Linked DNA regions of Mus musculus. The protein of the gene in region 5 interacts with the protein of the main gene of each other region in a pairwise test. Links are inferred from orthologs where the notes say so. Each region holds a gene or a part of one and is shown on either strand. Other genes may lie near its edges.

Region 1 (3,698 bases), on a different chromosome or scaffold from region 5:
TAACTATTTTGACTGCAGAGCTATGTCTATTGGAGCCCGTTCTCAATCAGCTCGTACTTACCTGGAGAGACATATGTCTGAATTTATGGAGTGTAAGTGTAGTTTGGCTTACTTTATTTTGTTTTGCCTCTTCTAGTCTATATAGTTAGCAAATCTACCCTAAGTGAGGAAAACTAATAGTCTTTAGTTTTTTAAAAATCTTAAGGTCATAAAGTGTCTATTGTTTTATTTAATTCTAGCTACTAAGAGAACTTTATCAAAATATAAATATGTTTGCCGGGCGTGGTAGCGCACACCTTTAATCCCAGCACTTGGGAGGCAGAGGCAGGCAGATTTCTGAGTTCAAGGCCAGCCTCGTCTACAAAGTGAGTTCCAGGACAGCCAGGGCTATACAGAGAAACCCTGTCTCGAAAAACAAAAAACAAAAACAACAACAAAAATAAATATGTCTCCAACCTTGAAAAGTCTTGACATTTAGTCTGAAGTAGGCCCCAGTCAGGGTTGAAACCCATTATACTAGTTGTTATTTGTAAATTCTGTTTACAACTTAATTGTTTGTAAGTCTGTTTCTACTTTAGGACACATAGAATTTCTGCATTAAGTGGCCCATAAGCAGTATAACTGTGGGAAAAGAGGGTGAAGGGTGTAAGATGATGAAGTGGTTTTCAAGCGCTTTGCTTTGCATTAGAAGAAGGGTTAATAGCAGGGCTTTTGTTTTGTTTTGGTTTTTTTCTCAAGATTTTTTTTGTCTTGGTTTCATAAATTTTCCTGTGGCAGTATAGTATTTTTTGAAGGAAATAGGAGTTCCCAAGATCACCCACATATTGGGAGATTTTTGAGAACTCAGCTTGCTGTCATATCCTAGCCAAGACTTAACGTGTGTGGCATAAGGGTCCTAGCTTGGTCACAGAAGGAAACAGGAACCTGCAGGCTTCCCTGTGCTCCTACCCTTCTCCTGAGTGTCAGGGCAGCTGAGTGATGCTTCTGTCTAAGGAGCTTTGCTAGAGAGTCGTTCCAACCTGGCGGGTACTTAGGGAATAGTTCAGTGTTGTAATATAGATGACACTGCCTTATGATGGCTTAGCTCAGGATGTCTTGACTTTATAATATGCAAAAACAACATGCACTGCAAAGGAAATGAAGTCCTGAATTTAGATTTTTATCTCCTCCTGGGTTAGCCACTTCGTTAAGATCCTCTATCTAATGCAGGGCAGCAGCAGTGAGTCATGAGCCTAAGCCAGCCACACAGTCACATACGCTACGCTGCAACATTTGGTAGGCAAGGTGTGTTGTATGCACATTTTACTTAACATTGGCCATTTACTGTGGGTACTCCCATTGTAAGTTAGGCAACATCTGGACATAGACTTTTGTTACATTTACTTAAGTCTTTCAGTGGTATTTTGTAATTTTTACTTTATAAGTCTTGTGTTTCTTTTGTTTAACTTATTCATACTTTATTCTTTTCATATTGTTTTAAGCGTTTTCTCAATATCATTTGCAGATTGCTTATAAGAACTTGATATTTACATATTGATTGCATGTCTTGAAACCCTAAGAACACTTCATTAATTCCAATCTAGTGGATTCCTTAGATCTGAGATTATATCACTAGGTCACATCATTTGCAGTAGAGGTGGTTTTACTTACTTCCTAGTCTTAATGTGTGCTGTTTCTTTCTTGCTTCCCAGATAGGTGCATTTTGTTTTTATTGAATGCCTTGGCTAGAACTGTCAGTATAGTGATGAGTGGAAGTGATGAGGGCATTTGTCCTTATTTTATTCCTGAGACTGAGGGAAAGCGTTCAGTCATTCTCTTAGGTATGATGTGAGCTGTGAGATGAGTAAGTGTTTTTATTAGGTAGGAGTTGGGAGTTTATCACGTGCTTGTTATAGCTGACTCAAATGGTCGTACCTTTTTTCCTCTTAGTCTATTAATGTATTGTGTTACATCAGTTGGCTTTTCAAATGTTAACCATGTCTACATTCCTGAGAAAAAATACAGTTGGTTATTATGTATAATCTTTTCTCCTTTGTTGTTGGGTTCTGGTGGTGGTGGTAGAAATGGTGGTAGTAATTTTATTTTGGTTAAGATGAGGTCCCATTGTGTAATTGGGATTGACCTAGAATTCTCTATGTAGCTCAAACTACTCATAATCTCCACCCCAGCCCCATACCCTCCCAAGTGCTAAGGTAATAGATATGCACCACTTATTTGGGTGTCTTTATTCATAGGGAAGATTGGTCTGTAATTGTCTGTAATGACTTTGATATCAGGTAATACTGACCACAAAGAATTGAAGGCTCATTATTTATGAATATAAAAACCTGAATTCTACAAAACACATTCTATAAAATTGAAATGTCATTTGTGACCAGGACTTTTATTTAATCTAGTGAAAGACAGATCATATTTATTACTAAAAAGCATCAAGTAGTCATTGATGTTGGTTGATATTAGATTAGATTAGATGCTAACATTACACTTTTGGCTGTTTTATTCTATATAATATGTCATTCAAGCCACAATTAAAGACTACAGACTTGATAATTAAAAGAAGCCTTATTATGATGGTGAAATTAAGAAATTATTTTGTAATTTATTGCATACAGGCAATTTGGATGAACTGGTTAAACATGGTCTGCGTGCCTTAAGAGAAACACTCCCTGCAGAGCAGGACCTGACCACAAAGGTAACTCAAGGTCCCAATTGTAGGTATAGTTTAATCCTCAGTCACAAGGGATAAAACAGCATGTCCTTAAGTCATTTTAATTGCTTTGTTCGTTATTTCCTTTCTAGTCACCAAATTCTCTGGTTTTGAAATGTCATGTTTAAATTGGGGTGGGAGGTTATACAGCAATAAAATGTCTGCAGTTTTTATTTTGTTTTGTCTACAGTAGGTATTCGTACCTTTATCAGATATTTACATTAGATTCCTAACAGTCTCAGAAGTGCAGTTATGAAGAAGCAATGAAAATAATTTCCTGGTTGGGGGTCACAACAGCGTGAGGAGCTGTATTAAAGTATTAGGAAGATGAAAACCACTGGTTGAGGGGAGACTTCATTACTAATGACATGGACCTTTGAGATTTCTCATAATAACCGACAGTGAATATTGGATCTGTAATTGAAAGAGCCATGGTTTCCTGCCTCTTTTCACTCCTACCTATAGGTTTTAAAACTTTGAACTTAATTGCTATATAATTTTTTCTACTTTGTGCCCAGCGTTTTATTATCCATATGTTAATTTCCCCCCCACCCCCATCAGAATGTTTCCATTGGAATCGTTGGTAAAGACTTGGAATTTACAATCTACGATGATGATGATGTATCTCCATTCCTGGATGGTCTTGAAGAAAGACCACAGAGAAAAGCACAGGTATGTTCCATGTTACGCATCATAACATGAGGTTTCAGCTTTACTGTAAACTGCTGTTCCTATCACAACCATGTAAATTCTGGCTTTTGTCTTTCATTATTGAGGTAGGTCCATAATTGAAATAACAATTAAGAAAGCACTGACTCAAGTAAAATATTTTTATAGTAGTGATCTCCAGAAACACAAAGAGGAAGAAGGGTTTGGTTCTCTATCACTGCATAACTAAGGTCACCCCAGAATTTACAGATTTAGATCACATTTCTTAGAGTTCTGTTGTTGACTGAGGCATGGATGGTAGACTGCTGCTCTTACTTGGGAC
Region 2 (4,444 bases), on a different chromosome or scaffold from region 5:
TAGTGAGCTGGGGAGGGGTGGACTTTCCTAAGGTTTATGAAAGGGACAATCCTGCTGAGAAAAGAATAGTTAAGAGCAGATTGGGAGGGCTGGAGAGGTGGTCCAGTGGTTAAGGATGTGGACCAGTCTAACGCAAGGCCAAAGTTAGGTTTCCAGCTCCTACATTCAATAGTTCACAACTACCTGTAGTCTCTTGTTCCTGGGGTTCAAGTACCCTTTTCTGGACTCTGCAGGCACAGTGCTCATCTGCAGAAACACACACACACACACACATTAAAATAAATCTTTAAGAGAAACAGTTGCTTTAGTCAGGCATGCTTTGCTGGGTGGATGTCAGTCTAAGCACACAGGATTCTGAAGACACAGAAGTCTGAATTCAGGGGTGCCTATGCAGGAGGGTGACAGCTGTGCTAGGTGACAGCACATGTGGTCTCTGTTTAGTTCTAAGGTGATGACCACACCTAGGCAGCATAAGAGCCCGGAGATGGAGGAGGCTGCTCATGAGGATGTCAGTGGAGGAAGAAGTGAAATTAGGTGACACTCCACAGGAAGATACTAGAGGAAAGAAAAGGAAAGAAAGGAGGGGAGGGGAGGGGAGGGGAGGGGAGGGGAGGGGAGGGGAGGGGAGGGGAGGGGAGGGGAGGGGAGGGGAGGGGAGGGGAGGGGAGGGGACAATGCTGCCCTGGGATCAAAAATGCCAGGAAGTTTGGAGAGGCTAGCGGGGCAGATGAGAGAAGCATTTCTGGCGGGGGCCCACTGTCCAGGGACATCCAAGAGCTTAGCCGAGCAAATTTAGATCTGGGGATGACAGAGCCAGGTGTGTGTGAGGGGGATGGGGCGTAGAGACTGAGTCGCTGACTCAGTCAGGGCAAGCAGTGACCAGGGTGGCGGGCAGCGTGGAGGAGGCTGACCTTTGGAGCAGCTTGACAAAGGGCTAGCCACTCATTTCTAGGCTGTGTTCTCAGCTCATCTAGTGTGAGCCAGCCCACATGAATTTGAGAAGTGCTTCGGAGTAAGCCCTGCAAGGAGCTCGAGTTCTGGAAAAAGTCCAATTCTTAAAACCAATTCGGGTTCTGGAAGGCGATCCGGTTCTGGAAGCACAAGGAGGTCAAGGAGAATGTAGGCTCTGGAAACAAAATGCATAACCAGGTCCCGGAGGCGAGGTTTCTGGGGGCGGTTCTGGAAGCAAGGGGACCGCAGCGGCGCTTTGCCTCTTAGTGCCGGGAAGAAAGCAGGCATTGTTTTAGAATCAGCACAAGCACTTGTCTCTAACAAACCGTTTAAAAAACCCCATTGTAAACATTTTTGGAGCAATCCTGGAGGGTCCCGTTGCCGGGGTGACGAGATAAAGCCTTGAAGTCCCTGCAGAGGCTGCAGCGGCTCTTGGTCGCCGCCCCCAGTTCTGCTTGTCTTTTCCTAACTTTCTCCGCACGCCTAACACCTAGCGTTGCGCATGCGTACCCTGATCGGCGAGCGGCCCTGGTTGCTAAGAGTTACCAGATCCCTTACCTGGAGCCCGCCTTTCTCTCACTCTGGTTGGTAGTAGTTTCTATCCATCGGAGTAGCCCTCACCTCTGATTGGACAACATCAAGTTTTGCAGGCGGGGCCCGCGCTCTGCCGCACCGGTCAGTCGGACCCTCCAGGAGGGGGACAGTCGGAGCAGCGCGGCTGATCCTCCCTGGAGCGCGAGGGGCCTGCTGCTCGCAGCCTCTCGGAGTCAGCGTCCGAGCGAGCAGCGATGATCCTTGAGGAGAGGCCAGATGGCCAGGGCACTGGCGAGGAAAGCTCTCGGCCGCAGGACGACGGCAGCATCCGCAAGGTGGGGGCTGAGCAGGGATATGGGTCTTCAGCCTCCTGCCCCGCGCTGTGCAGTGCGGCCTTCCCGGCCTTTCCTTCCTGGGACCCGCTCCCCTGAATGCCAGGTGGGGATACTGAGGTCCCAAGGAGAGACCAGAGCCGGTGTTCCAGCCCGATGGGAGTAACACTGGAGCAGTCACGGTCTAGATGGTTCCCCTGAAGCTAGAGAACCCCTTGGGTCTCAGAACCAAGAAGTTGGTTCTGATGGGTGACAACCCCCACTCCCTCACCTCCACAAGCAAGCACGTGTTTTTTTCTGACGTCTAGAAAGCCTCCTTCTCTAACAGTGTCTTCTGCGTGCCCCGCTGTAGGAGTCAGTGTCCATTAGTGGTTAGATTGTGACAGCAGACAGCAAAAACCTTCGGAACTTCACGGGGAAGCCTGACTACTTTTCCCCAACATACATCCCCTCCAAAGCTCCTGAGTCTGGAGATGAGGGTGCCTGGGCTTCCAGGAACACAGGGGTGAAGTGGAAACTAGTTTGCTCTTTGCCTAAGGGATATTATGTTAACCTTCTCTGCTTCTCCGGTCTGGGTATTTCCTAGGGGTCAGTGAGTGTTTGGGTTTCTTAGTATGTGTGTAGGCTCTGGGGTACTCCTGCCCATCCCCAGGGGCTGCTAAGCAGAAGCTGCTGTCACAACACTCCCGGGTGTTCCCATGGCTCTTTGCCCACCTTCCTTCCTGGTGTCAGATTGTACTTTGTTGCTGGCTGATTCTATCCAGTGTGTGTGTGTGTGTGTGTGTGTATCAGGTCTCCTGGAGGAGAGGGAGGAGAGGGAGAGGAAGAGGAAGAGAGGAAGGCACTGGGACTTGGACAGAACCCTCAAGGGCTCCATCCTAACCAGGCATGCCTGATACCACAGTGACTAGCTCAAACTGGGGAGGGGTTAGATTGGAGAGAGGGAAGGAGGGAGGGAGGGAGACGGAGTCAGCCTGCAACATGTTCTCCAGGAACTCTTCTTCCTAGGGTGGCCATGCCTTTCAGGTGCCCTGTGGAGGAAGTGCATGTTGCATTGGTCAGCCTCCCTGTGGATAGTGTGGGACTCCCCCACCCTGAGCTGACTCAGTAAGAGAAGCCTGGGAAGGCTTAGGATTGCTCTGTTCCTTCTTTCTATTCCCAGGCCTGTGTGGGGATAACTGTGTCCCCCCGCCCCCCACCTTTTGCTAATCCTTGAGGACCAGCCCAGTACAGGTCACTGGGTCTTTGAGTGGGAGGTTTTGTTTCTCTGACCCCCATGCCTTTCCTCCCTGGTCGTGGCCAGGCCCTGTTCTGGTTTGGCCACTGCTGCTGCGATGTCTGTACTGATGGCAAGTTCTCCCAGAGTTAGACAAGAGTAGCCACCATGGAGGTCAGCCATGGTTAGACGGCCTTTGTTTCCAGAGGGTGGGGAGATCATACCGGGATAGAGAGAGATGGTTACTTAGCACCTGTGCCCTCCCTGCTGAGCACTTCCTTCAGCCCAGTGTGGAAAACTGGGTGTGGGCTATCAGCTTCCAGAATCCATCCAGCCCAGCTTATCTTGCCTTTCCACCAAAACAGGTTAGGAAGCTGGCTTGGCCTCCATAAGTGAACCAAGGTTAAAAAGGGCAAGAACAGGCCCAGGGTCTGGGGCTGGTGAAACCTCAGAGTGGCTAGCTGCTGCAGCTCCCTAGCAGGTGGGGGAGGGACTGAGGCTATCGGCCATAAATAAGCTTAGAACCTTGTAGTAGGGTCTTGGGGAAAAGATGTGTGCCGTTTTCTTAGTAGCTTTGAAGACAGGAGACTGTTGTGGCCTCAAGTTTCCCTCCTGCACAGGCAGGGGTGGGTCCTGAGAAGGAGACAGTACAATGTGGCTCCACTCTATCCCTATGCTATCTTGTGCCAGCTATCCAGAAAGCGAGTCACCTATCTGTAGTCACCCAAGGATGACTTAATGGCCTCCTTCTTTCAGAGTGAGCCCAGGTGCCACTTCTGTGGGCGCTCTTCAGTGACATGAAAGCTGGCTTCATGGTAACCCTGGGGCCACAGTCTAAGTGATTGCCTCCAGGAGCTCCATCCATGCCAAGGCGAAAGCGTCGCTTTAACCCATGCAAGATGCTGAGGCTGTCCTTTGCATGACAGTAAGCCACACTTTGAATGCATGGCCAGGATCAGCTCTGCCAGGATTTACACACACACACACACACACACACACACACACACACACACCCCACTCTGTGTCACTTGGACTAGAGCCTTTCAGTTTCTGTGACCTCCTCCCTCATATGTGATCACTAGTGAGGGTGTTCCCCAGGGAAAAGAGCCATCAGCAAAATCTTTACCACGAAGTCTTAAACCGGCGGGTTAACCTGGGCAGGGCAAAAATGCTGCGCTGCGTGGCTTGGAGGACCTCAGGCTTTGTGCAGCACCACCAATTCCCCACGCCTTGGCAGCTCTGGGAGGAAGCCCTGTAGGCCGTGGCCGAGCCTGTAGTTGGAGAGAGGGGACATCACAGATGACGCAGGCCACTGATCTCACATTACCCAGGAGGAGCTCTCATCTGACTGGAGCTGCCAAAGGGACACTGGAACCCAATGCCTTGTTCACTGTGTCACAGACCGGGTACC
Region 3 (4,493 bases), on a different chromosome or scaffold from region 5:
CGCAGGGAGATATACTTGTCCTTCAGCTCTGCGAGCTGCTCCTGTGCTGCCTCCAGCTCCTTCCCCAGGCTCCCATCTTTGGTGTTCTTGCTTTTGAGCACAACTTGGGCTCGCATCTTATACCGCTCAAACTCTTCCTTCAGCTGCTTCAGCTCCTGTTGGTAGTAGAGCGCGGTAGCCTTTTCCCCGTCAGCAGCCTCGGAGTTGGCCATTATCTCAGGGTCGCAGAGCTTCTCCACATCCAGGGTCACCTGGCTTTTCCTAGCTGCAACCTGTAGTAGCTTCTTGAGCTTCTCCATCTTGTCCTTCAAGACATTGATATCCAGACTGGATTCGTCGCCATGGATGTCAAGGGAGGACCGGCTAGAGGCTGCGAGGGCCAGTGTCTTGTTCTCCAGGTCCAGCTGCAGAAGTCGCTCCTTCAGCTTCTGGATGGCCAGCTGGTCTTTCTGCTTGGCTTTCTCGTAGGTGCCCAGCAGTTCAGATACCTCAGAGATCTGGCTCTCCAGGGCTGCTACTCTCTGCTCTTCTACCTGAGACTGCTGGCGGAGCTGGTCCTCTGCAAGGGCTGTCTGCAAAGCAAAGAACAGGTGACAAGGCATCCAGGAAAGTCACAAAACCCCTAGAGTCAACTGGGTGTGGGGGAGGAGACAGAGAAGTGAACAGGGCTTGGAATAACCCAGAACAAGTGGGAACTGGGGATTTTTAACTGAAGTGCCCTTTCTACCATAGTTTTCCATTCTTCATTAAGCTTGAATACAAAGTATGTTTCTGTTAGCCAAATCATTTAAAGAAACCGTGTAACATTCTTTCCCTTTCCCAACATGCCTGTAAATTCAAACCCAACCTAGATCCCTCTCTCTACTGAAAGGGAACACTATAAAACAGTTGAGGCAAACCTCACCTGAGCGTATACACAAGGCATTTCTTCTGGGGAAAATCCCCTTTGCTTCCTCCAGTCACCTTACCTAGAAGCACACACTTCTCAGGATACACACAAGCTTTCCCTACACAGCTGTCACTGTATCACCTCAAGCAGCACAGCTGGTAAGATGCCAACACCCAAGGCCTAGATAGAGCTATCTGGCTTGAACCCAGAAATACTCAGGAACTCTTCATCCTGTTAGAAGGACACCACACAAAGCCACACTTCACGGGACTCACTGATGCAATTTTTTCACTTGGCATCAAATATCACTATGCATGTTGGGAATGTGGAACCAGACCAAAGTCCCAGTACTCACACTAACAACTCACGCTATCTCACCAGGCATCCCTTGACTAAAACAAGACCCTGCCTTAAGTGGGGAGAGGGGTGCCCTTAATCCTAGCACTTGGTATGGAAAAGCAGGCAAATCCCTGTGAGTTCAAGGGCAGACTGGGTTACATGGTAAGACCCTGCCTCATGAAAACACACACAGAGAAACAAACACACACACACACACACACACACACACACATAGGGATGCATTACAGTTATCTAATGACCAGAAGAGAAAAATAATAATTTCCTATGTAAGCTAAAATGACTATTTGAAGGATATGAGAATAATTACCTTCCTCATTTCTTGCTGCAATTGGGCCTGGAAATGGCTTTTAAGACGGGCAGCCTCTTGCTGAAGCTCCTGCAGCCGGGGGTCTGGTCGGTTCTTCTCATCTCGAATGGTTTGCAGCTCACCTTTCAGCTCCTCTACCTCTCGGGTCAGCTGCTTGGTCTGCAGTTCAAACCCTTCGACCTGATCAGCGGCATATGCCCGCCCTGCCAAGGCTTCTCTGGTCTCTTCTAAGCGAAGTTCCAGGTCCTGGCGCTGGGTCCTCTCCTCCTGCAAGAGCTTCTGAAGCTCGCGCAGCATCAAGGCATGGTCACTCTGCTCCTGGGCACGATCGTGCTGCTGTGTAATGAGGCGGGCTTTGGTTTCTGCTATCTGCTCTTGCAGCACCTTCAAGTCTCCCTCCAGGCGACCCCGCTCTTCCTCTGCCTTTTTATTGGCATCCTCTAAGTCCTGCTTCATCTTCTTCTTATCCGCCAGGTAAGACGCCTCCATACGGGACTTTTCCTGAGTGACTGTCGCCAAGGAGCTAGTCAAAGTGGCCAACTGAGTCTTCAGCTGATGCACTCTTTTGTCCATCTCACTACCGGCAGATGGCCCATCCCCACTGCTACTACTAACGCCACTCTCTGACCCACTGGCCTCTTCAGACTTTGGGGGAAGTGGTCCACGGGCCGCTCTGTCATCTTCAACCCCAAATTCACCCTTGACACTTGTAAGACTGGCTGCGGTATCCAAGCTAGTGGCAGTTCCGGTGCTGTCCTCACTGTGAGTGGAGCACCGGTCATCCACAGAATCAGGAAACGTGAGACCTGGAGGCTGCACACCTGAGAGGCCTACATCCGCCTCGTGGGATACCGACAGTACCTTGATGCTGGCCTCCAGGGCTTCTTTCTCCTTCAGCAGGCTTTTATAGGCACGCACCACATCCTTGAGTCTTGCCTGGTACTGGAGAAGCTGCTTTTTCTGTGTCTCGATGGTCTCCAAGAGATCCTTCTTACTTGGGCCGCCCCCGAAATTCATCCCAAACTTCTCCATGGGGGTTCTGGCGTGGACCGCTCCACGTCAACGTTCTTGCAGCCCTGGGCAGAGCCACAGGGACAGCTAAAAGTGAAGCAGAGAGAACCGTCTGGCTGCAGGCAATACACCCGGTCCGTCCAGCGGTCCGGGCGGGATGAGGGGCCGCGGTGGCCAGGCAAAAGCACTGCAGGAGCCAGGCCGAAGGTGGGAGCCAGTTCCAACCTGGAGGCGGAGTGACGCTGACCTAGCAGGAGCAGTCAGCCTAGGCTCTCCAGTACAGGCCCTGAGCCTGTCCCGCCCTAGCCGCTCCTGTGGCCACCGCAACCTAGACCCGCCTCCCTCCGCCCACGATAAGCCCAGGGTTTACACTAAGCCGGGTTCCATCACGATTTCCCAACAACTGGAACAGCACCGCTTCCGGGTCTCCTGGAAGTGACGGCAGCAAAACGCCACAGACCCCGCCCCGCCGTGGGCGTGAGATGGGTGGGGCTTCCGCACCGTGTCTGCTGGTGGCCTGGAGAGGGAGTAACCCGTAGGTAAGTCTAGAGCAAGCACCTGAGCAGTGGTTTGGAGATGCCTAACTTTGCCCTCAAGCTACCACCAGTGAGCGACAGGGGGCGACGTCGCACTGCATTTGCCCCAAAAACATAGATGAAAGACGCATCAAACTATTTGGGGCAATGTCCAACATTTGGGGCAACAGTTAGGACTCATACTAGGAAAACGAGGCCGGTACCTGGTTAACGTAAAGCATAATAGCTCCCTCCCTTAGTTCTGATTAGTAAAAGGGGCATTATATAGCCATAAGGCCCATCTTGCATACCAGCATATGCTGGGGTCAGGGCTGTGTCACAAGAGTTACACTTACGGGAACATAGAGTAAAATGTACAGAGGGGTAACATGTCCAATGTCACTCAGCTAGGAAGTTTAGGAGTCCTATCTCAGTCTGCCTCTCAACATACTACATGCTATGCCAGATAGCACTACTGAAGAAGCATGGCCTTGTCCCAAGAAACTCCTAACAGCAAGGACACAGAGATTCAAACAGGTAGCTCCTGCCTTCACACTAGTGTGTCGGGGCATTGCAGAAGTGGTATAAAGGAGATGAGGCACCTGCCAGGACAGAGACTCTTAGGGGAAATGATTTGAAGTTTGAGAGATGAGTAGACTGCCAAGCTCAATGCAGATGTGGGAAACCAGCATGGAGGAAAGTGGAAAGGTGTATAGGGACGTCAGGCATCAGTGAGCCTAACTTGCCCAGGAAGCTTATGGTGTGGGAGAAGGGTGGCTACTGATGAGGCTGGAACAAAGGACCCAACTTAAAGGCATTTAGATTTTACCTTAGGTGACAAGACATGAAAAGATTTTCATCTCAAGAGCACACCATCAAGTCTCCTTTTTCTTTTCCATCAAGACTCTTGTGGGGACTGTAAGACGACTCAGCAGTAAAGGCACTTTCCACCCAGGCCCAATGATCTGACCTGAGTTCTATCACCAGGGCCCACACGGTGGAAAGAGAGAACATATTCCCACAGGTTGTCCTCTGAGAGCTACACCTCCACACATGAACACGAAATAAAAGTGGGGAGGGAGCCAGGCGTGGTGGCGCACGCCTTTAATCCCAGCACTTGGGAGGCAGAGGCAGGTGGATTTCTGAGTTCGAGGCGAGCCGGGTCTACAAAGTGAATTCCAGGACAACCAGGGCTATACAGAGAAACCCTGTCTCGAAAAAAAAAAAAAAAAAAGGGTGGGGAGGAGCTAGAAACAAAATAAGATTCCTGTGACATTATGAAGATACCAAGCCTGTGAGAGGGGTGCGGGGAGGGAAAGAGATGAAATAAGAGTGACAACGGGTTTTAAGAAAATATTTCTGTAATAAAAATCTACTCAAGATGCCAAGGCAGCCGTCACATCTCCGTGAG
Region 4 (3,698 bases), on a different chromosome or scaffold from region 5:
ACCAGTTCTACCAATTGCTTTTTCTTTAGAAACTAAAAATACAGCTGATCATGATGAGTCACCACCTCGAACTCCAACCGGAAATGCACCTTCTTCTGAGTCTGACATAGACATCTCCAGCCCCAACGTGTCTCATGATGAGAGCATTGCCAAGGACATGTCCCTGAAGGACTCAGGCAGTGATCTCTCTCACCGTCCCAAGCGACGTCGATTTCACGAAAGCTACAATTTCAACATGAAGTGTCCTACGCCGGGCTGCAACTCTCTAGGTGAGTGTGCCCCAGCTTCATGACCGTTGTGGCCTGGGGATCCTGTTGTGGGGTTGTGAACTCAGAGCAATCGTGAACAAGAGCTGTTCTTGGCCTATTGTCTGTAAATATTAACAGATCTGGTTGCAGGAAATGTAACAGTGATGAACCACTCACTTTTTTCAACATGTTTTTCCCAGTGAAAAATTCCCTCCTTTCCTAAGCAGGAACAAAACTGGAAAACAAGTTCTCTCTGGAATGCCTCGTCCTATGGCGGGTGGTTGGTGCTTATAGGTACTGATAGAGTATAAGATAATGCCTGATAATGGCTTCGAGGCCACTGCTGTTCAGGAGACAAGGAAAACAGAGTTGTTTTTTTTGTTTGTTTTTGGTTTTTCAAGACAGGGTTTCTCTGTGTAGCCCTGGCTGTCCTGGCACTCACTTTGTAGACCAGGCTGGCCTCGAACTCAGAAATCCACCTGCCTCTGCCTCCCAAGTGCTGGGATTAAAGGCGTGCGCCACCACGCCCAGCAAGAACAGAGTTCTTAAGAGGCTGTAAATCAGGAGAGTTTGCATGAGACCAGACCTAAAGATGCCTTTGAATATGAATTTTTTTGTTTCCTAGTGCATATAAAACTTTTCTTTATACTTATAAAGTATGCCAGTAGCATTGTGTACTTTTTAAAGGTAAATTCTTTTAAAAATGTTTTGTTAAAGATGCTAATGTAGGAGCAGTTGGGAAATTGGTGCCAGTAGACTTGTTAAACAGCCATAGCCTTGAGTTTGTAAGGCATGCAGTCTCTGAGAGCAGGCTTCCACAGCGGTGACGGCACTCTCTACTCTGTGTGTGGTCCCACCCAACAGTTTTCTCTAAGAAATGGCCTCCTGTTGCTTAATAGTAAGGACATATTTTGAGAGCATGTACTGGGCTGGGGAGATGGCTCAATGGGTAAGAGCACTGACGGTCCAGAGTTCAAATCCCAGCAACCACATGGTGGCTTACAACCACTCATAATGAGATCTGACGCCCTCTTCTGGTGTGTCTGAAGACAGCTACAGTGTATTTACATATAATAAATAAATAAATCTTTTTTAAAAAAAGAGAGAGCGCATGTACATGACAAACAGAGATGATATAGCCTTCTATACACTTGGGCTGTTGGGGGTGTGTTTGTATATGACAGCCTATTGCTCCTACACCCCGGTGAGCAAAGCAAACTGAGATAAGTCAGGAACAAGAGAACAGGGTGCTTTTAGAGATTTGGTAAACTCAATGTATGTGACAGTTGCTTGTGTAACTTGGATGCTACTTTACTCTGAACTTTATTGTTAAATAGAAGGATTTGAAGTAATTTTGAGCAGGGCGTGGTGGCAAGTGCCATTAATTTTCACACTTAGGTCTATGTAGAAGGAGTTGGAGTTCAAGGCCAGTCTGGACTGTCTAGTGAGCCTGTCTCCATGTAAATAGAAAAACAATGAAAAATAGAACAAATGCCCTAAACCAATTAACATGGCTGCTTATATTGTCAGTCATTATTGCTGTGTAGAATGGTATGTGCTGCATTTTTATATAGTCAGCATAGTAGGTTTGTTTGTATCAGTGTGACCACAAATACATGAATTGTGCTTGCACATAGCAACTGCAACACCACAAACCTATCGCTAGGGGGAGCTTCAGCCCCGCAGACTTCTGGGGCCCTTACTTGCCTGCTCTCCTAGTTTTATGTTTAGAGATCCACTGTTTGCTGGGCATTAGGCAAGATGTGACTCTAAGTATGTGGGTCTCAAAAGTTAAAATGTTTCTTTTTATCTTTTTTTTTTTTTGATAGGTTCTTGCTATGTGGCTCTGACTGGCCTGATAGTCACTGTGTAGTCCAAGCTGGCCTCATATTCATAGAACTAACTAACTTAATTACTTTCTTTCTCTCTCTCTCTCTCTCTCTCTCTCTCTCTCTTTCTCTTTCTCTCTTTCCGAGACAGGGTCTCTCTGTGCAGTCCTGGCTGTCCTGGAACTCACTTTGTAGACCAGGCTGGCCTTGAACTCAGAAATTCGCCTGCCTCTGCCTCCCGAGTGCTGGGATTAAAGGTGTGCGCCACCACTGCCCGGCCAGTTTTCTGTATTTGTAAGGTTTACATGTGTTTATTACGTATGTGGGATGGGTGCCCTTGTTACAGCATGCGTGTGGAGGACACGCTTTTTGAATTGATTCTTTCCTTCACCTTTTATGTGGGTTGTAGGGATCAAGCTCATGTTGCCAGACTTGAGGTCCAGGACAGCCAGTGCTACATACATAGTAAGACCAGGGCGATCATTCGATTGGTAGATAGATATAGATAGATAGATCGATCAATAGATAAATAGATAGATTGGATGAATGGATAGATAGATAGGTGGATACTGCTTAAGGGGCTAAGAAGCCAGCTCTGTGGGTAAAAGTGCTAGCCTTACAAGCAAGCCTGATAATGGAACCCTTATAAGTGTATCTGTAAAGTTCCCACTACCCTGAAATAGGCAGAGATAGACTTATTGTTGGAAGCCAGCAGAGCCAGGAGCACTGCTACACAGCACCCGAAACGAGAGAGATCCTGTCTCAGCAAGGTGGGAGGCAAAAGAAAAACAGAACAGAACATGTTCCCTCCATCTGCAGATCTTATACACACACTGCACATGTAGTCAGATGTACATATGGGCACAAAATGACGTGTAGAAAGGAGAGCAAGAAAGGGTAAATACTATGTGAAGAACGGAATGCAAGTAATGGACACTTAAGCCATGAAAGAAGTACAAAGCTAATTTTCCAGTTTTAAGTGTGGGGTTTTTTGTTTGTTTGTCTGAAGATTTGTGTATATATCTGATAGTGAAAGTGTAAAACTCATTGTGAAGTCCCACAGCTTCAGGTTGGTTAGTTATTCTAACTGTTCAGAAATTCATTTGACATGTCTGGTTAGTCCTGGTATGGGTTTTGTTTTGTTTTGCGTGCAGATTCTTTATAATAAATTTTAATAAATTGCAAACAAACAAAAAGGTAGAAGGCAAGAATCAATTTCCAAATGTCCTCTTTAGCATACACATATTAGTAATGACAATAAAAACAACAGTAATACTCAGAAATAATGACAATGATGATAGGACCTGTAGCCGGGCGGTGGTAGAACATGCCTTTAATTGCAGCACTTGGGAGGCAGAGGCAGACAGCTGCCAGCATGGTCTACAGAGTGAGTTCCAGGACAGCCAAGTCTGTGTAGTGAAACCCTGTCTCAGGAGGGAAGGGAGGGAGGGAGGGAGGGAGGGAGGGAGGGAGGGAGGGAGGGAAAAACTTAAAATGGACAGAGATGTAGCTCTGTGGGACAGTGCTTGTCTAGCATGGCTCAGGCCCCGGGTTCCATTTCCATTCGCCAATTTTTTTTTAAAGGAAAGAAAGGAAAGAGGGAGAGAGGAAAGACTGTTCT
Region 5 (2,980 bases):
GTTATAGCAGTTTCTCAATCTATGGGTCACAACCCCTTTGGGGGCTTGAATGACCCTTTCACAGGGGTCACCTAAGATTATCAGAAACACAAATATTTACATTACAATTCATAAGAGTAGCAAGATTACAGTTGTGAAATAGCAATGAAAACAATTTCATGGTTGGGTTCACCACAGCATGAGGAAGTGAACTAAAGGGTCACAGCGTTAGGAAGGTCGAAAACCACTGGGTTACTATTTAGAAATTTAACTACAGGGTGACAAAGCAAAGGACTATAAAGTAAGAAGGAACCTAAGATATTATTTTATGTTGTCCAAGTCACAACTCCTAGGAGTCTGAATCCCTGTTCACTGGCACTCGCCATACCACTATGCTGGCCTCCTGGAAATACTTAAAATAATCTATATATCAACCAGTAAGAGTGGCATTTTAAAAAGAAGCATATGGGGTAGCCTAAAGTAGCTTGTAGTCATGGGTGTGATGCAGGACACTGCCCCCGCCATCAGACTGAATACTGAGACTAGAGATCCAGTAGACAGCAGTAAGAACAGGCCTCTTCAGTGACGTGCAGGGAGGATAACGCCCAAGGGAGTCAGCCTAGGGGGAGAAGACGACTCTTTATTGTTAGCCATACAAATAAGTCACTAGGGACACTTACGTTTGGAAACTCTTTACGAAAACTTTATTTGTGATCTTATTTCTTTATAAAAGTACATTACATAGTATTGCAAATAAAGACACAGAAACACTTCTACCTAATCATCTATTTCACTCCATGACTAACTTCCTATCTTAATACAAAGACAAAACCTTTCCTTCTTGCTTTGACAGGGCAATAGCTGTAAGTTTTCTTATAGAATATGCCCACTAATCCTTGCCTGGAGAACAGAGGCTTCCTATCCGTTGGGCTTAGAAAGCAACTGGCATTCTTTTTTCTCTGACCAAAGGGTCATTAAACCTTGAAGTTAACTGCGACTTTCTGTACTTTGCAATGTCTCTTTTGTTACCCACAATCTCTTCCTTACATTTTACAGCACTCAAGCATTGCTTAGGAAACGATTAAGGAATCTAAAGTTAACTCACTATTTTAATAACTTAACAGCTACATTTTATTAAATAATCAAAAATAAAAATTATATGGGTTGAGCAGACCCGGGGTGAGAGGATGAATTCTGAGAGCTGATTGTGTACAGCCTTGTCTCAGGATCAGACCTTTACAAATGCTTAGAATGTTACGAATGCAGTTTACACAGTGAAGTTGACCTGGTTTGTTTTCAGTATGAAAGGATCTTTAATTTCTTTACTGCAGGTACGATGGCATCCAGGTCATCAATCTCTGTAACAGGAAAAGGAGGAATTAGAAAGGGAGCGATGTTTCCAGTGCAAAGCTCAGAGATGTGAGACGCTCTCCGCAGAAGCCGCCTTCACACACAAGGGCAGCAGTAGCTGCGTGCTCAGTTGTGCACAGGGTTCTCTCCCAGGTTGGCTGCAGACTACCACTGCCTCCCACAGGGGATTCACAGGGAATCTGCAGCGCCCCCATTGACTGGCATTAATCTTACCAGACACAGGCTTAGTAACACATCCAGTTGGCTGTGTTTATGATGCCTTTGTCTCTCTTTAAATCTCTGTACAGCTACATGGGCAAGCCAACATGAGTCCCATTAGACATTGAAGACATGCATCTCTTTTGCAGGTCTCACAGACAGTGCTCCTTCCTGATTCTTCTAGTCTCAGAGTGTTCTCAGCCTTCTTTGGGGAGATTTGTCCAGTAAGAGGTGTGGGACACCTTAGAACAAGCCTCAGGGACACAGCCTATCCTGTATGAACTTCCGGACACAGCAGTTCCGGTTCTTTCGGAGATTGATTTTTCTCCTAAGGTATCAGACTTCAGTGACCCTGAGCCAGAATTCACTCTCTAAAGCTCTTGTTCTCAGAGGAAGCAAGTACTTTCCCTTAGCCAGACACCATCCCTTGGAAGGTTCCAAGCAGCAGGCTCTACATTTTTCTAGCTTATTTTGCTTGGTCATGTTTTAATAAACAATGATAGAACCCAGAGTCTCACAAAATAATGCCATTTCTCAAGATAGTCCCAGAGGGCTGAAGAGATGACTCAGCAGTTAGAAGCACCTGCTGCTCTTATAAGAGGACCTGGGGCCAGTTCCCAGCACCAACAGTAGCTAACTGACTATAACTCTAGTTTCAGAGTATCAGACCATCTCTTCTGGCCTCCATACATACATGCAGGCAAATATCTATACACATATAAAAATATTTAAAAAGAAAAGAAAAAGATAGTTTTTATTTCTTTATAGGCTGTTTTTCTATTCTGTAAATTAATCCTAACCAAGTCTTCCTGCAAAGTAGTTATTACTTTCCAAACACCTAGAGTAAGACATGAACCTAATTTCTAAGGAATACCCCTTCAAATCCACCAACACCTTCCAAGAAAGAGTCAGCCACCATCAACAGACATCTCACCTAAGATTTCAAGAAGATCATTAGCAAAAGCTTGAAACGCTGGGAAAAATTCCTCATGCTCTTCCAATTTCTTGATAATACTGTTTAAAACATACACAGTTTACAAAAAAGCACCACCTTTAGAACATCTGCTAGAAATAGGCTTCTTTACCCAATATTCAACTGAACAGAAGGTACCAGTGGTCAGTAAAACAATGGAAGGAGCGGAGAGGCCTGAGAGACGGTATGAAAAACTCAACTGCCAGATTATATAAGGGTTCTTACTGGAAAATATGCAGAATATATAGATGATACATGTGTGTGTGTTTATATATACATATATGTCTTATATGTTTATATATATGCATATATGTATATGCATATACATATATGCATATACATATATGCATATATATAAACACAATACATACACACACATACACACACAAACACATTCTCATAATGTACTTTTTAAAACATCAGGTTTTTACATTGGTGGTACATAGTCTTTTAAAAATC
Region 6 (4,376 bases), about 84 Mb from region 5:
GAGTGTCATGATTAAGGCCATCCTGTATTCAGAAATTGTCAGGCCCTTTAAAGTCCCTCAAAATTCTCAAATCCATGACAGACATATTGTACTTCTTACTGTACAGAAAAGGAAACAAAATTTATTCAAGATCATTCAGTTGTTACATGGCAGAAACAGGATTCAAAAGCAGGTTCAAGCCAGGCATGGTGGTGCACATGTTTAGCTCCAGCACTGGAGGCAGAGGGCTGTAAAGGCAAGAGGTTCTCTGTGAGGTTAAAGCCAGCCTGGTTTACAAATCAAGTTCCAGGATCGTCAGGGCTACATAAAGAGACATGTGTCAAACAACAGCAGCAACAACAACAAACTCAAAGGCAGGTCTGTAAATCCAGAATGCACCCCACCCTAAGCTGAATCAGCAGTGAAGAAATGGCCCCTTTGGCTGACACCAGGAAGACTTCAGAATAATCCTGCAGCACCAGGAGAAGTGCCCATCTTCCACCTAGAGGGGACTTCTCTCTTCCAAATATATTGCACACAATATATTGCTAATTATTAGGTACTTATGATATACCACACTTTTACGATATACTAGACTAGTAGGGTTCAAGCACAAGGCTGGCTTTACAGCTTTGCAAATAGTTCATTCAGTCACATAGGACCCTATATTCATACTGATCTAACCACACACACAGGTCTTTGTTTGCTTTTTTTGTTTTTATTTTTTTTTCTCCGTGGTGCCATGTACACTAGGCAAGCTCTCTATAATCCAGTTATATCTCTAGGCCAACAACTTTACATTTGAAATGTGTTTGTCTATGAGAACTCAAGGGATAGTAATATCTGCCCTCTCACCACAGATCTTGTCACGCACTCAATAAGGTGTTTGTAATGTTCCCTTACAACTTAGTCCTAGTGGACCTGCATGGGTGCAAAGCCAGAGTCAATGCTGCAGGATTCCACAGACTGTTGGACAGTGTGTGCAGGGGTCAAAAAGTAGAAGGTGCCGGGCGTGGTGGCGCACGCCTTTAATCCCAGCACTCGGGAGGCAGAGGCAGGTGGATTTCTGAGTTCGAGGCCAGCCGGGTCTACAAAGTGCCTTCCAGGACAGCCAGGGCTACACAGAGAAGCCCTGTCTCGAAAACCAAAAAAAAAAAAAAAAAAAAGTAGGAGGCAAGTGAGGACACAGGGACAGTACAGAAATCCATAACACATGCCACCCTTAGTCTGACAGAGAGCTTGGCACACTGCGGGCTCAGTCACCACAACAAATCGACGCTCACCTGGCCCGCAGTGTCCTCCCACTTGCAGGAAGGCCTTCTTTCCACTCAGGTTCGAACACAGGTTTAGTCTCCTGCCAGTCTTTTCTGATAGCTCTAGGCCAAGGGAGAGCCGGGGTACCGCCCCTCCCGGAGGCCCGCCCACCACACGCACAGCCACGCCCACCAACGTGTACTCACGCGAGATTTCGTCCTTGTCCTAGTCCGGCTGCTGGGCGCCGGGAGCGCTCTTTTCGACGCGGCGGAAGAGGTAAGCGGTTGTTCACTGTGGCCGCTCAGGTCTGCTGCGGGCGACGGGGCCGCAGGGCGGGGTTCTTTGGGCTGCGGTCCGCGCGGAAACGGCGCTCTTGTAGGGCCAGAGCAGCGGGCCGGAATCCCGCCATCCGCAGGCCGCACGAGGCTCCGGGTCGCTGTTGGGAGAGGCCGAGGTGTTCTGGGCCTGGAGGGCGTTTTTAGTGCCGTGTAAGGGGTCGCGTGCTGCCTGCGCACATCTCTTAGGTTACGTTCCGAAAGGGTCTTGCAGCGGGCCCACGGCGCATAGTCGACGCAGCTCACCACGTGGCCTCCAAAGCTTGTAGTCTCGGAACTGTAAAGTAGCGTACAGGTGGGAGTGATTCCTAGGAATTATCTTTGATTTACTCACAGGCATATCGTTGGGGCGACCGGGTCAACCTTAAATTTCAGTTTTGGTGGGTTAATTTAAAAAAGCAATTCATGTAGCGGGCATTTTGCAATCTAAGGTCGTAGTCACCCTGTTTTTCTTATCCTCGAAAGTTGTGATTATTTTTAGTTCTAGGATTTTGTGTAGCCTAGGAAAACTGTAGTCTTTTCTCCTTTAGTACATATGGCCGTTTTGCCTGCCTAATATTTCTACACCACGTGCACGCAGTGCTCACAGAGCCCAGAAGAGGACATCGAATCTCTTAGGACTGCTTACAGCTATTTTTAGGCTGGCATGTGAGTTCTGGGAGTCTCATCTTAGTCCATTGACAGTATTCTATTCATTTCTTTTTTGGGGGGGGAGGTTTCGAGACAGGGTTTCTCTTTATAGCCCTGGCTGTCCAGGAACTCACTTTTTAGACCAGGCTGGCCTCGAACTCAGAAATCCTGCCTCTGCCTCCCGAGTGCTGGGATTAAAGGCGTGCGCCACCACGCCCGGCCATTGACAGTATACTTAACTGCTAGGCTATCGTCTCAGCCATAATCTAAAGGTTCTTTTACACGTTGTTAGGATTACAGGCCTGTGACCATTTGATCAGTAGTGATTTTTGAGCCACTATCGCCATATCCCAACTACCCGAACTCTGTTTCAGTGTCGAGTTCGCAGCCCAGATTGGAATTAGAAATGCTACTGTGAGGCTAGGTGGTGGTTAAAGCCATGTCGGGTTTTGGGGGTAGATTTAGTGAGAAAACAAACTGCATTGGAATGTGGCTTCTTGTTTTCACTCACATATTTAAAGAAAACTATGCCATATGTGTGAGGGTACTCTGGAAGACAAAAGATCACTAACAGGGAGCTGGAGTTAACAGGAGATTGTGAGCAACCCGATGTGGATACTGGAAACAAGCCCACTCAGAGGCTTTAAAGTAGATATAAAATGTACTATCCATAGGGATTTTACAGAAATTCACACAGTGGGAAGGAGTATGCTGAACTTAGACTGCTGGTACATCATTGAAATCTGTGATTGCAGAAAATTGGGAAAGGCCGCGAAAAGTGATGGCTCAATCAGAAGTGAATTCTGTCTGTGTGGCATCGGATAGAGCTGGAGATACTGGAGACCAAAGGTAAGGTAGCTTTTGTGGGTAAACTAGAGATTCAGTCCAAATGTTCAATTTATTTTTGAGACATCTCAGTAGATAGAGCCATGGCTGCCCTCACCCAGGTAATCCTGCCCATCTACCTCTCAAGAGTTGGGATTAAAGGCATGTTACCACACCCTGCACTCCAGCAAGTTATTTGTAATGCTTGTACTTAAAATAGATAGAGAGAACCTCAATTAGCATTTATATTAGCTTGACAGTTTGATTAAAACTGTATAATTCTACCAACCTGAACATGTAGGAATGGAACATAGTTTATTTTTTCCAAGAAAACTACATTTGGGGGGCTAGTTCTGGTTTTATTGGCCCATTTTTGTTTAGTAGGTAGATAGTGGAAGCTTTAGTGATTAAGTGGTGCTTTTGAAAGTTAAAACTGAACATTTTAACCAACTGTCTTGTTTTAGATATAATAGTAAGTACTAGTGGTTAACTGGTACTGAATCTATTCTAAAATGCTGGGTATGATTTTAGGGGGTTGATCTTTGAAGAAATGCACTTTGAAATTTTAACATGGTTTTTAGGTTTGTCATGCTTTTGTCTGGTGTTCTAAGGGCAGTAAAGGCTGTTGGAGCTGTGAACTGAAGGAATGCATGATTGGGAGCATGGCCTTGAAACTCGGGGAGGATTATAGCTAATGATAACTGATGCAGTTTCATTTTTGTTTTAGTGATGACTCCTCTGATGGCAGCTTATTTAAAACTCAGTGTGCTCCTTCACCTATACAAAAGCAAAGACACCCTACTGTGAAACGTGTTACTTTACCTGCAAGTGTTGAAACAGATTCATCAAGTGACTCTTCTATAGAACCAAGGCCTCTGACTTTAAAGGCTATTTTTGAAAGATTTAAAAAAAAGAAACGGAAAAAGAGGAAAAAGAGAAAATATGAGCCAAAATTAAGACCAAGAGGAAGACCAAGAGGAAAACCATCGGGAACGAGGATCACTAGAAGGTCGCAAATAGATGCAAAACAAATTAAAGACAAAGGAGCTGTGTTTCCATTCTTAGAATCTGAGAGTGGAAGAAAACCTTTACCTTGGAAGAAAATTTTAACATATGAGGTGAGTTTTTTTTTTAAATGTAGGTGAATACATTAGGTAAGATTGAATGGTTTGTTGGCCATTCTTAATTGTTTGAGGGACACCTGAAACAGATTGTTACTTTTAACAATAGTGACATCCATATAAAGTGCTCCAATTTTCATCTCTTGCATCACTAGAGAAATGTGCACAAGCATATTTATCAGTGTGCACACAGATTTATGGAGTTGTACTCCAGCTGGGTCCCTTGAGGTCC
Region 7 (4,393 bases), on a different chromosome or scaffold from region 5:
TTTACAGCTAAGCAAACTGAGGCTCAGAGATTTTTTTTCCCCCTCAGGTCCTCACCAGCTTTGGGGCAGACCTGGGCCAGAACTAGGATGTGACAGATCAGGGCATTCTCGTCCCAGGTGACTGAGGAGACTCGTGGGACAGAAGGGGAGGTCCTCCTGGGCTCAGACGACTACTTGCCTGGGAGAGCAGAGAGGTTCTGTGGAGGAACAGGGGCTCCGGAGGGCAGACTCCCTCCTTAGCCGCTGACGGCGATGGGCATGCGGACCCATCTGGCCAGAGAGGCGAAGATGTCCCCCGACTCTAGCATCCCGGTTGGCCCTGCATAGCCGAGTGTTCTTCTGGCTCAGACTGGGTGGTGGTGACCCTCTGTCTTTCTGGGCTCCTCGCTTCCTTCTCACTTTCACCTGTGTCTCCATCAGCCACTTGGTGCCACTCTGACAGGACTCCTGGATCCTCTGTGATGGGTTCATGTGAGAAGGTTGGCACAGATAGGACCAAGGTGGGCTACCAGGCTCTAGCCATTCTTCCAGCCCAGGGCTGGCCCCACAAACACAGTCTGCTGTTACTAAGCAGCAGCAACAGTAAGCCAAGAGCAACAGCATGACTCCCCATGAGATGGTACTCTCCTCCAAGACCTTCCTGAGATCCAGTGTGGTAACTCAGCAGGTAGCAGCAAGACCACTCTACATCTGAGCCCCCAGGCAGAGACTAACTCAGAGAGTGAGGGAGGCTCAGTTTTCTGGATGCCAGCTCTGGATCCTACCTTAGTCCTATTCTTTCTCTTCCCTCCTCCATCTCAGTCTAACATACTTCAATGACAGGTCTGCTCATAACACTTAATTGCTCTGAGCCCTTCCATGGCTCCCAATAATCTACAGGGCTGAGTCCCAACCCTTGGATCTTCAACATGTGGCTGGGTCAAACAGCCTTGCTAGATTGTCTTTGCCTTGGCAAACCAGAACCCAGAAGTTGGAGCAAGGCCCGAGATAAGTTTTCATGAGTTGGGTGACCTTAGACAAACTGTCACATTTCATTGTTCTGAGCTATAGCGATGTTGAAAGCAATCTTAGGGCTCTTCCAAGTCAGAGCTAGACTTTGGCAAGGAGACCTCTCTGTGGAGTCGTCAGAGGCCTCTGCTCTCTCCCTACACCATCAGAATGCCAGCAAGATGCCAGGGGCCATTCCCCCTTCTCTTCTTAGAGGTCTGCTCATTCTCATAGCTTCTGTCCTGTCCAGGGGACACCTGCCCACATCTCCAGCTCCAGGTTTAAAGACCTAGGTGGGGTCAACATGATATCGTAACAGGTACATCTTCTTGCCACCAAACCAGGCAACTCGTGTGATCTCCAGAACCCACACGGTGGAGGGAGACCTTATTCCTTCTCTGACCTCCAGACAAGTACCACTGCATAAGCGCTCCTCCCATAGATAAATATTAAAACATTAAAAGAAGATATCTGCTCGAAGGCTCTTGGACACACCACACACAAACACCACCCCTCAAATCTGCCTTCTGAACCGCTCAGGAAGTTGCACCCTTTCTGCAAGCCCCGCTCCTCTGCCTTTTTCTACCAAATAGTTGACAGCTAAGGTGTAAGAGTGTGACTGGGAGACTTTAAATGGGGGTCAGCACACAGGATCACCTCTCTCACTATACTGACTGCTTAGCTTCACACTGGGGACTCTTCTCTTCAGCATCCACGCTGGACTCACTCACAGCATCCCACTGGCCCTGTGCCTACATACACCTCCCCTTTCCTGAGTGATCTTGGAAGAGTCACCTATTCTAGGAAGTCTTTATCCACTAAGCTTGAGACTGGTATCTCTTTATAGATAGCCATTTCCTGCAATTTTCTATCACAGGACATGGCAGGTCACCTTGCATGGGGAACACCAATTTCTTCCATGACTTTATTCACCTACTGATTTGTTGGGAAACTATTATGTGCCAGAATGACCGGGGTTCTGGGAAAATGGCAAGAACCTAATCAAACCCCAAGACCCCATGGAGTCTATATTCCTGGGGTCTCCCTGAGGATAGGGACAGTCAACACCAAGGACGCTTCTGTAAACAGACGGCTGGTGGTGTCATTGTTACCTGGGACATGGCACCCAAGGCGCTTTTGGCTGAGCGAGCTGCAGCCTGAAGACCTTGCTGCTCTGGCTCTGGACTTTCCAGGCGTTTCCAGGAGGGGCCGTTACCGAGGTTCAGGCTGACCGCTCTCAGAGGCAGCCTCCTTTGGAATTGTCTGCACAGGGAGCCCAAGGGACCGGTCTCCGGATGACCCCCAGCAGACCGGGTCACCTCCTTCTTCTCTAGCTGTTCCTCCTTTAGGAGTGATCGTCTGCGCACAGAGGTCCTCATGCCCTGCCACTGAGACGCCATGTGCTTGGTCCAGTTTCCGCTGCCCGCTAGATCCTGGGGAGGTCAAAAGGTCATCAAAGTACTCCCTGACCCCATTCCAAGGCTCCAGGGACCTTGGGAACTGGGAAAGAGATGAAGTGGAACCTCGCGGGGTAGGCCTGTTGGGCAATTGTGGATGCCAGAAAGATGACCAATGGCATCATGGTCAGCAGCTGCCTCCGTTGCAAGGCGGCAATTTGTCCGTCTTTCCATCCTAGCCTATTCCCCATAGGCTAAGTGGAGTGGCACACAGGTCACGGAGCCTCGGCGCTTACGCAGGGCACCAGCAGTATGCTGTTTTCACAAATTTTCCTCTCCGGAGCAGATTTAGCAATCCAGCCAAGGCCTCGGATCCGATGGGGCGTTTGCAACTCCTAGACATTCCCTTTGTCTTGTGGGTCCTATCCAGAGCTCCTGACCCGTTCCCCATTCAGAGCTCCCCGTGAGACCGTCCCCCACCCCCCTCCTTAAGCCCCTCGGTAACCCCGCATGCTCACCTCCCTGCTCGATACCCGGACCCGAAGATCAACACCCTCTCCTAGCCCACCGCAGCCGATTTGAAACTCCGCGCGGCCCCGCCCCGCCCCGGCGCTTGCAGCCCATTGGCCCTATCAGCCATCCACCACCGCCGCCCCGGATTTCGATTGGTCTTTTTCTCTCGTGACTGTAAATCCTGCTTTGGGATTGGCCTGGCCACGCCCATACATCGTTCGTAGACCCCCCACCTGGCTCGCCGCAGAGGGGTCCAGGTCGCCACCGGATCACTGTTACCGACCAGCCCGCCTCCCTACATCCCGGCTGCTTGGTCCCAGGCGACCGCGCCTAGTCCATCGTTCTCCCAAGCTCTCTTCTTCAAGCATGCAGGTCAGGGTGCAGGATGCTGCGGGGGTTCAGGTCACCGCCACCCAGGGCACGCGCCCCTTTCAGTCCTTCACCCCGCCTAACTTCTCTCCCACGATAAGTAGTTTTGTCAAAGCGATAGGCTGGGACTGCCGAGCTTTGCGATCCCTGGGAAGTTTTGTTTCAAATTCCCCGCGTAATTCTCTTCCTTCCTGCGAGATGGCCCTGCCCCTGTCTGTTCCTCAAACAAACACCCTGCTGGCGGCGCCCAAGAAAGCACATCTCAGAGGAGGGGACAGACTGTAGATCACCCTCTCCACAGTTAGGTCAGTTCCTCTGCCGGGTCTTGCTCTACGCATCTTTCAATCTTTCTTTCCTGTAGTCTGCCAGCAAGCTAAAAAAACAAAACAAGAAACAAAGACGACGACGACAAACAACAGCAACCCAGGCTGGGTCACTTTCTCCCATGCTTTCATTTTTATGGTTTTGACTTTTTTTAAAAAAAATATTTTTATTTTTAATTATATGTCTCTGTGCATGTAAATGCCTGTGGGGTGGCGTGGTGGCGACACAGAAGAGGAAGTCAGACCCTCTGGAGCTGGAGTTAGAGGTGGTTGGTTCTAACTGGCCACACTCAGCCTCCCCAAGATTGAAATCAAGGGGCCTGGCGTGCCACCACAATGGGGCCTTCTTATCGGTCCTCAAAAAAGAATTTCTCTTCTCCCTCCTCTCTCCTTTCCTCAGCCTGGAGTGAGACTCCTAGAGACTCTTCAGGCCTCTTCCTGGTGTCAGGATTGTCTGACCCTCTCCTGACCTCAGTGTTTACCTCCCAACCCCCTATAATAATAATGGTTGATTTGTGTGTAGCACTTGCAAACACTCCCTTTCTATCAGCAAGCCCAGTTTATCCCCAGTGCTCTGCAGCTCTGTGAGGTAGCTGGGGTGTGGAGAGACTGGCCGTACACTTCACTCACTAACTGTAGCAGGGTGAAGGACCCAAAGGCCATGCATGCAGGGACGTTGTCTGTGTGACCAGGGTTGACCCCCTCACTGTTGCTCCTCAGACCCCACCCTTTTCCAGCTGGGGTCTCTCCCTTGACTCCTGAAGCCAGCACTCTTCTGGGTCCTGTCACCTCCTGCTGGCTGCA

What was found.
Region 1: the proteins of Cep70 (region 5) and Psma1 interact in binary tests that used the Homo sapiens proteins (3 or more experiments, as listed by UniProt). The two-hybrid records come from large-scale screens. The link is inferred for Mus musculus from reciprocal best matches to the Homo sapiens genes CEP70 and PSMA1.
Region 2: the proteins of Cep70 (region 5) and Rhpn1 interact in binary tests that used the Homo sapiens proteins (3 or more experiments, as listed by UniProt). The two-hybrid records come from large-scale screens. The link is inferred for Mus musculus from reciprocal best matches to the Homo sapiens genes CEP70 and RHPN1.
Region 3: the proteins of Cep70 (region 5) and Gcc1 interact in binary tests that used the Homo sapiens proteins (3 or more experiments, as listed by UniProt). The two-hybrid records come from large-scale screens. The link is inferred for Mus musculus from reciprocal best matches to the Homo sapiens genes CEP70 and GCC1.
Region 4: the proteins of Cep70 (region 5) and Kat7 interact in a two-hybrid assay, tested with the Homo sapiens proteins (2 studies listed by BioGRID and IntAct). The two-hybrid records come from large-scale screens. The link is inferred for Mus musculus from reciprocal best matches to the Homo sapiens genes CEP70 and KAT7.
Region 6: the proteins of Cep70 (region 5) and Taf1d interact in binary tests that used the Homo sapiens proteins (3 or more experiments, as listed by UniProt). The link is inferred for Mus musculus from reciprocal best matches to the Homo sapiens genes CEP70 and TAF1D.
Region 7: the proteins of Cep70 (region 5) and Pimreg interact in binary tests that used the Homo sapiens proteins (3 or more experiments, as listed by UniProt). The two-hybrid records come from large-scale screens. The link is inferred for Mus musculus from reciprocal best matches to the Homo sapiens genes CEP70 and PIMREG.

What each region holds. Positions count from the first base shown.
Region 1 is NC_000073.6:114,266,115-114,269,812, reverse strand, and holds part of Psma1 (proteasome subunit alpha type-1), read left to right. Parts: coding exon 1-92; intron 93-2,612; coding exon 2,613-2,692; intron 2,693-3,268; coding exon 3,269-3,379; intron 3,380-3,698. UniProt on the Homo sapiens protein: Component of the 20S core proteasome complex involved in the proteolytic degradation of most intracellular proteins. This complex plays numerous essential roles within the cell by associating with different regulatory particles.
Region 2 is NC_000081.6:75,702,655-75,707,098, forward strand, and holds the start of Rhpn1 (rhophilin-1), read left to right. Parts: upstream 1-1,633; 5' UTR 1,634-1,739; coding exon 1,740-1,820; intron 1,821-4,444. UniProt on the Homo sapiens protein: Has no enzymatic activity. May serve as a target for Rho, and interact with some cytoskeletal component upon Rho binding or relay a Rho signal to other molecules.
Region 3 is NC_000072.6:28,418,729-28,423,221, forward strand, and holds the start of Gcc1 (GRIP and coiled-coil domain-containing protein 1), read right to left. Parts: upstream 2,997-4,493; 5' UTR 2,589-2,996; coding exon 1,557-2,588; intron 573-1,556; coding exon 1-572. UniProt on the Homo sapiens protein: Probably involved in maintaining Golgi structure.
Region 4 is NC_000077.6:95,296,550-95,300,247, reverse strand, and holds part of Kat7 (histone acetyltransferase KAT7), read left to right. Parts: intron 1-29; coding exon 30-269; intron 270-3,698. UniProt on the Homo sapiens protein: Catalytic subunit of histone acetyltransferase HBO1 complexes, which specifically mediate acetylation of histone H3 at 'Lys-14' (H3K14ac), thereby regulating various processes, such as gene transcription, protein ubiquitination, immune regulation, stem cell pluripotent and self-renewal maintenance and embryonic development.
Region 5 is NC_000075.6:99,298,085-99,301,064, reverse strand, and holds the end of Cep70 (centrosomal protein of 70 kDa), read right to left. Parts: exon of another isoform or gene 2,563-2,980; coding exon 2,483-2,562; intron 2,059-2,482; exon of another isoform or gene 1,338-2,058; coding exon 1,276-1,337; 3' UTR 661-1,275; downstream 1-660.
Region 6 is NC_000075.6:15,304,775-15,309,150, forward strand, and holds the start of Taf1d (TATA box-binding protein-associated factor RNA polymerase I subunit D), read left to right. Parts: upstream 1-1,439; 5' UTR 1,440-1,509; exon of another isoform or gene 1,510-1,674; intron 1,675-2,095; exon of another isoform or gene 2,096-2,216; intron 2,217-2,953; 5' UTR 2,954-2,979; coding exon 2,980-3,047; intron 3,048-3,750; coding exon 3,751-4,141; intron 4,142-4,376. UniProt on the Homo sapiens protein: Component of the transcription factor SL1/TIF-IB complex, which is involved in the assembly of the PIC (preinitiation complex) during RNA polymerase I-dependent transcription.
Region 7 is NC_000077.6:72,041,044-72,045,436, reverse strand, and holds the start of Pimreg (protein PIMREG), read right to left. Parts: upstream 2,936-4,393; 5' UTR 2,903-2,935; intron 2,421-2,902; 5' UTR 2,388-2,420; coding exon 2,100-2,387; intron 457-2,099; coding exon 179-456; intron 1-178. UniProt on the Homo sapiens protein: During mitosis, may play a role in the control of metaphase-to-anaphase transition.